Drosophila melanogaster: one gene and its partner. The protein of the gene in region 2 interacts with the protein of the main gene of each other region in a pairwise test. Each region holds a gene or a part of one and is shown on either strand. Other genes may lie near its edges.

Region 1 (3,755 bases), on a different chromosome or scaffold from region 2:
TCAATTCATTACCTATTTGCTGCACCTTTAGTTCTCCACGCGCCTCCACAGGCACGTCAATGGAATCTTCGCTGTCGCTAGCCTGAATTTCAAGGGAATGTTTAATCGACAGCCTGCACTCAAGCCTGCAGTCTGCTCTACTGTCCGGATTGTTTTTAAGTTTTGTGTGCTTTCAACGACGAAACATCGTTTTCAGTTTGGTTCAGTCCCGTCTAAATTTTGTGCAACCAATTTGTGTGAGATGGTGTGTGCTACGCTTTCGGCACTTTTCTGTCCGTATTGAGAGTCAGTTAACCCTGCCGCCCATCGACCTTACTTACCACGTTCGCGATGTTCAAAAGATTACCAGGTGTGGTTAGTGTTTTGCTTGATACTTGCTTAACATGGTTGACCTCAACATCTGGCGTGGTCATGGAGGATTGCTGGCGCTCTAGTTGCCGCTGCTTTTCCCGCTCCATTTTCTCCAGGCCCTCTCTGAAAGATTAAGGAAATTATTACAAGTATCTATCTTTTGTGCATCTTATTGTGGTTCTTTGCACACTCATACCTTATCCAAGCTGGCAACATTTTCCGTTTGTTTGCATCGATCTCACTGCTAGCCCCGCTACTTCCGCTTTCCGCATGCGTCTGCTGTGTGTGCTGTGGCGGCAGGTGTGTATGTGGTGTTAGGTGGTGTGGATGTGCATGCGGCTGATGTGCTGGTGGATGGTGTGGATGCGTTGGTTGGGGAGCATGCTGCTGCTGCTGCTGCTGATGCGCTTGCAACTGCAACTGCAGCTGTTGGTGCGGCTCATTGGGATTGCTCACGTTCAGCTTCAGCAGAGATGGTATATGCGCCGTGGAATTGCCTGATTTGTCGGTCTGCATTTGCCACCCGGTCCATGGCTGCTTGCCCAGCGTGACAGCTGCAAGGAACGGAGAGGAGGGTTAGTTGCTGACCTGATTTATTGTGCTATCTTCTTGGATCTTCTACAAACCCGCTCCGTTGGAGGCGTCTGGGATCTGACCAGCCACTTCGGTGCCCGCCAGCCATTGGGATTGCGTAACCAAAGGTGCTGGCGGTGGGGGTGTCTCAGTGCTATGTCCCCGATCATTCTCATCGTCCATGTCCATATCCGCCTCGCCGTGCTCCTCTAGTTGCGGAAATCCCGCCCTGACCACACTGGGCACCGGCATTGCTAGCGTCTGCTGGTGGTATTCTCGCAAATTGCTGATGATGGGCGGCGGAGGGGCCAGGGGCATGGGCACCGGAGTAGCGTCCCGCATGTGGATCCATTGCTGGGCGAGCTGCGCCCAATCGATGCCAACGCCACCCTGCATGGCGAGCGGCAGGCCGGCGGCTACCATGGGCGTCACCATGCCCTGACCGCCCCCGGAGGGCAGTGAAAAATGTGTGGGGGGTGGTGGGGGCTGCGCCAGGAACTGATTGTGATTATGGTTGTGCCCATGGCCATGTTGTCCAAGTCCATGGACGTGGGCATGCTTGTTGTAGCCCAAATCGGCGTTTCCGTTTCCACCAGGAAACATCTCTGCTTGTAGTTCGAATATGCTCTTTAAATCCCAGCTGTATTCCTCAGTTATCGAGGTTTTCTTCACGAGTGAAACGAATTTTCGTCGCCTTCTACGCCATTTTCTTGCTCAGCCCGTTTTGTCATTCGCAGCGAAGCGGTAACAGCGGGTCGCTCATATGACGGTATTTTTTAATACACTTCAGCTATACTGTTATTTCAAAAACATATTTCTTTTGTTACTTTTTATGCAGTTCATTTGCCACCAAAAAGTAGTCTTTTGGATTGATTTATTTCTAAAAATGGTGTAATTCAAGAAATTCAGAGGGCCAAGTAATATACTTAATGACCGTTATTTAAAACACACTCAAGGAGATTTATTTAAACGGCTACAATGGTTTTCCAAATAACTTATTTACTGTTGACTTCTATAAAACATAGGTGTATATATTATTATTTTTTATTGATTTGAGATAATTTTAATTTCCACAATATTTTTTCTTGTGATTAACAGAGAAAGTCAAACTCATAACATTTATCGGGTAAAAGTCTCTATGAAGTAGAGGTTAACAGTGAAGTCGCAAAAGTGTGGCCGTACGCCAATCGAGCGAGTATCCCTAACCTGCAATATTTTTAGTTGGTTTTTTCAGCAATAGCCCCACTTTTCTCAAAGAGTGCAACAAGTGATTCTGTTTATGTTTTCAACAACTTCTCTCTGCGGAACTTAACGTGAGCGGACGTATGCGGACGCGTCGCTGCCGGAAAAATAAGTTGCGTCGGCGTTGCGGCGTTGTTGTTTACGTGTTATAATAAATTTGTGTGCGTGCGAGAAGGGCGCGCTCCTGTCTGTGTTGGTGTTATTGTCGGTCGTTCTCAGCGCGAGTTTCGAAATACCGCATTGTTTAATTACAGCCGCCGCGACTAATTTCAATACAAACAAAAGCTGGTGTGTGAATGAAATTATGCTAAAATAGATAATAGTTAAAGGTAAAAGAAATTAAAAGATGAAGAAGGAGAAGAGGAAGAGAAGTTCTGCAGCGCAGTTGCGTCGGCGCAGCAGCGTTTCTATCGGTGTGTGTCTGAGTCTGTCTGTAGTGGTTTGTCTGGTTTTTTTTCGGGCTGTGTGTGTTCGTGTTTGCCAAGCAACAATTTAATTGCTATTCAATTTTAAAAGCAGTTCAATTGCAAACCATTACAAATATGTAATTTGCTGTCGATTGCTTTTGCACTGGAGTGCGTAATTACATTTTTGAGCCACCAAACACCAAACAGTGCAACTGTTGCCGCTACACTGGGAGCAAAACAGGACGGATAGATGATCAACAGTTCGTTGATTTTACAAAGACAAACGTTTTATTAATATACTTAGCATGTGATTCGATTTAACTGAAAATATATACAAATATTTAGTGGTTGCAAGTTTCTTTGTCATGTTAAGGAAACAAAAGTTCAATTTACGTCTTTATCTATATCAATCTTTCAACCATCAAAATAAAATAAAAAAAAATGAAATATCAACTTAATCTCAGAAATTTGGTATCATACGCAGATCTTGATTTTCTGTGTGCTCTGTAATGGCGTAATCGTAATCTTTGTGCCCCCTTTTAATGATTTAATTAAAAGCGTAAATTGCAGGCCGAAATTCAATTTGTCCGTTTGACTTTTCAATTCGTGTGGGTGGTTCTCTGACATTGGATCGTTGTTGTTTGCTTTTATTTAATTTTTTTTTTTTTGAGTTTTTATTGTAGTTGTGCAACAACACGCACACACACGTAGTAAATAATTAAGTTCGTGCGTCGCGTGCCGTTTTGAATTTTCTTTTTCCTTTTGCTGTGGGGCCCGGAAAATGTTCTCTTCTCACTGCGCGTTTATTTGCATTTCCATCAATGCGAAATTCGACTCGTATAAAATACAATAAAAAATCGTTCGAAAAAAACCAGTTGACCGTGAGATAACTCGTGCATAATTGCTAAATAGCAACAAAAAAGAAATATAAATACATACATATGTGAATGATTGAATTGCTGAAATGTTTAGTGTTTGTGTTTTTTTCTCCTTCTCTTCTCCCCTCTGAATGTGTGCTTGTGTGTTTGCTTTTGCCCTTCGTCAATGAATAACGGCACTTTGCGAGGTGCGAAGTCGAAGAAGAGCAAACAACAACAAATTGCCATCACCTTTGTCAGCAGAGAGAAGCCAAAAAGCAACAACTAAGCCGGCATTGGAGAAGACAAAAAGAGAGAACAACAA
Region 2 (3,755 bases):
CGTACCGCTTCGTATCTGTTGCAGCACCTAACGGCTCTCTGCGTCCTCAGCATCGCACTCACCTGCGCAAACGCGGCATTGTGGCCAAGTTACAGCAGCGATGATGCGCCCCCCAGCCGCTGCAGCGGTGGGCGTGGCCTGAAGTACCTATCGGGCGATGCGCTGACGGACTCGCTGGACTGCCTGGGTCCCAATAATGCGCCATATCCGAGGTGAGTCAGTCATCTGGCATGGTAGTAACTTTCTTTTCTAACGCCCCTGTGACCATCCAATTGGGATCTCTGCAGCGCGGCCGTGGCGCGCACATTCTCCAACTGGAACGGAAACTCGCGACGTGGCCGCCAGAGCAAATTGCCCAGCACACTGGACCCAGCCATAACCACCAGTGCTCTGCTGAGGGCCTACGACGAGGTGAACAACGAGGCCGTCGGAAGCAGTCGCTATGGTAAGTCGGTCACCGCCACCTGATTGACCAAACCAATCGATCGAACCACCGCCTGATTGATTGATTGATTGATGGATTGATTGACTGACTACTTGATTGATTAATCAATCTCATCGCATCGCAACTCAACAGGTCGTTCGCTGAAGAACGCCACGCCGGCGCAGCAGTGCAAGAGCGAGACGCCGGCGCGCCTCTGCAAGACGCGCTACAATACCACGGCGCCCATGTACGGAGTGAGCCTCACCTCCGGCCAGCCGGTGACCATCGTCCAGAAGTTCCCCGATCTCCTGCAGCAGGTGGTCTTCGAAGTGTGCGAGTGAGTAATATTTTGGCACCCGATTAATATAAATCTTATTGGTATACCAAACAAATTGAATTCAAATAAGAAATTTACCCTTAACTTACATTACTCCACAATCTCCACTAGTTCTTCTTTTTAAAGCTCACTACTATGGTCAATTTCAGATCCTCTGAGTGCGATGTGGTCCGCGGCGAGTGTACGCAAACCTATGTGCCCTACCTGTTCCTGGTCATTCCGCTCGGCCCGGTGACGCTGACTGGCCAGGATTACGTGCTGGTGGAGAGCGGATGCGTGTGCAAGCCCAAGTACTCGACGGGCGCCGCCCAGGAGCCGAACATGATACCGTAGAAGGAGGAAACGAAGGAAGGCGAAGGCGGTAACCACCAGGAACACCAACAGCAACCAAAAGAACTGAGCGAGTTTTGGGTCGGAGCAGATCGGAGCCAAGCCGAGCTGGGCTGAACTGGCTGGCTGGCTGGCTGGCTTAATTAAAAGGAATTATTTTTTGTAGCGAAATCAATTTTGCAATGTTATTTAATGTTTTCCCCCCATCTCTCATTCTCCTTTAAATCCCACTCAGCTTTATAAAATTGAATTGAAATTTTGCTCGAAAAATAATCGAATCCTAATGTTAAGTCTAAATTTAAACAAAATTGATTAAATGCCTCTGTGCGTTTGTAGTGTGTATTTATTAGAACCCCTAATTACGGCATTCGAAAATGCTAAATAAAAACATTCGTTTCGAAATGTGACTGCAGTCGTTTAATTCCAAAGGGATGGAATATAAAATTGTTCAAAAGGATGGAAATATAATAATGAAACTATAAATAGAATGTAATTGCTATGGCTACGCACATACCGACATGTGCCTTAAATGATCTAGAAAATGTAGCTCTTTTATAGTAAAAATAGAAACCAATCTAAACAGATCATTTTAAAATTCGTTTTAAGTTTGAAAAGATTTAAAATGTAACGGTCGCATTTGAATTAAAAAAGACAGTTAACACCCTGTGCGCAGCGCTGCCAGATGCTCGCCGATAACATTTGCCGATAGTCCTGCGCTGGTCCGATTACTCGTGTTTTGGGCCGCTGCTGCCATCACTGGCGCAGACCGTTTTCACGAATATAATTTTTTATTTTGCGATAGTAAAGTGCTGAAAAATAGCCAGAAAACTGCCATTAAAGCTGTTCGCAACGACGACAGAACGCATTAGAGTGATAAACGCGCGAGCAGGGTGTTAAGATAGCGATTGTTTCGGGCCAAAGGCATCGCATCTCCCCGGCCATCACACATACGGCGAAAAGACGCTGCGCGAGTGTGTGTGTGCTCCTGTAGACGACAATCGACTTGCGTGGTGCCGGGTTACATATTTTTATTGGATTTTTGACTCGCCCTCGCTGCGCTAGAAAACAAATGTGCCTGGCCTAAAGTTGGGCCACAAATTGGCGGCAGTGCACCGAAATTCCCGCAGGACTCTAATCACAAATACGCAGCCAAGATGATGTTCACGGTAAGCCAAAAGCGTCGACACCCCCCCGCAAACTAATCGATAAATGGTTTTTCAATACATTGCCCATTCGTTTGTGATAATTTATTCCCCCTTTTTTTTAAATGGAATATCCTGCAAATATGTTTATTTTTCACCCCGCCCCCCCGCAAAATCAAATAGGGCACCAATCAGCAGCAGGACACGCGGTTCAGCGACAAGGAGAAGAAGCTGATGAAGCAAATGAAGTTCGGCGATTGCCTGAACAAGAGGGTGGATATGTCGAAAGTCAAGCTGGACGTACTGCGTCCGTGGATCAGCAAGAAGATCACCGACATCCTGCACATCGAGGACGACGTGGTCGTCGAGTTTGTCTACAATCAGCTGGAGGAGGAGAAGTATCCGTGCCCCAAGAAAATGCAGATCAATATGACGGGCTTCTTGAACGGCCGAAATGCCCGCCAGTTTATGGGTGAACTTTGGGCCCTGCTGCTTTCGGCACAGGAAAGCGATTCGGGTATACCAGCGGAGTTTATACAGCAGAAAAAGGACGAGATACTCAAACGGGAGGAGGAACAGCGGCAGCGGGATCGATCGAGATCCCGTTCGCGTTCCCGCTCCCAACGAGACAGTTCTAGGCGAGATCGGCAGCGTGACCGCTCCAAATCCAAGTCCCGCTCCAGATCCCGCTCAATGAAGCCGGCCAACAACAACGGTTCGGTGCCCAGTGCCGCACGAGAAGCGGCCGCCAATGCGGCTGCCAAAATCCGTAAACGCGGCTCCTCCTCCGCCGCGCGTCCCGGCTCCAGGGAGCGGAGATCCAGCCGACGACCACGTTCTCGTTCACGTTCACGCTCGCGAACCGCCGGCAAAAAGACAGGCTCGGTGGAGCCCGCACCCGCCAAGACTGTCAACGGCCGCCACTCGACGGACAAGTCCTCGCCGGTACCGCCGGCCTCCAAGAACAAGTCGCGCTCCCGTTCGCATTCCCGGTCGCGATCGCCGCGCAGTCGATCTCGATCGCCCAGCGCCAAGCGGTCACGTTCCCGCAGTTCCTCGCGACGCAGTCGCCGACGAGGACGCTCCAGCAGCATATCTTTGTCGCCGGAGCGCAACCAGGATCAGTTTGAGCACCGACGCAACAAGAACAGTGTGCAAAACAAGCGGCAATATCGCAACAATCGCGGGGACTCGGCTAGTTCAATGGAGCGCGGTAACGATCGAGGCAGGCAGTTTGGCGGTGGCGGAGGTGGTCGTCGAGGTGGCAGACGCTTCTCCCCGCGAGGACGCAGTCCGATGCGACAGGATAATGGCGGTGGCAACGGCGGCAATCGCTTTCAGCGATCCAATTCGCGTCGCAGGTCGAGATCCAGGCGGCTATCACGCTCGCCTATGCGTTATTCTCGCTCTCCAAGACGGTAAGTTGATTCTATTGCCTAACTAACAATGGCTTAACTAATTCAATCATGTTAATTTCGTTCCGTGCAGCTTCAACAACCGTCGCCGTTCGCCGATGATGAAC

The links. The genes of interacting proteins can lie anywhere in the genome.
Region 1: the proteins of Srrm1 (region 2) and CG31211 interact in a two-hybrid assay, tested with the Drosophila melanogaster proteins (one large-scale study listed by BioGRID).

The regions. Positions count from the first base shown.
Region 1 is NT_033777.3:11,947,577-11,951,331, reverse strand, and holds the start of CG31211 (uncharacterized protein), read right to left. Parts: upstream 1,653-3,755; 5' UTR 1,528-1,652; coding exon 978-1,527; intron 906-977; coding exon 548-905; intron 475-547; coding exon 321-474; intron 83-320; coding exon 1-82.
Region 2 is NT_037436.4:13,035,008-13,038,762, forward strand, and holds the start of Srrm1 (Serine-arginine repetitive matrix 1), read left to right. Parts: upstream 1-1,813; 5' UTR 1,814-2,245; coding exon 2,246-2,257; intron 2,258-2,416; coding exon 2,417-3,651; intron 3,652-3,721; coding exon 3,722-3,755. Other genes in the region: CG17672 (uncharacterized protein), read left to right, coding at 25-212, 288-445, 578-761, 911-1,094.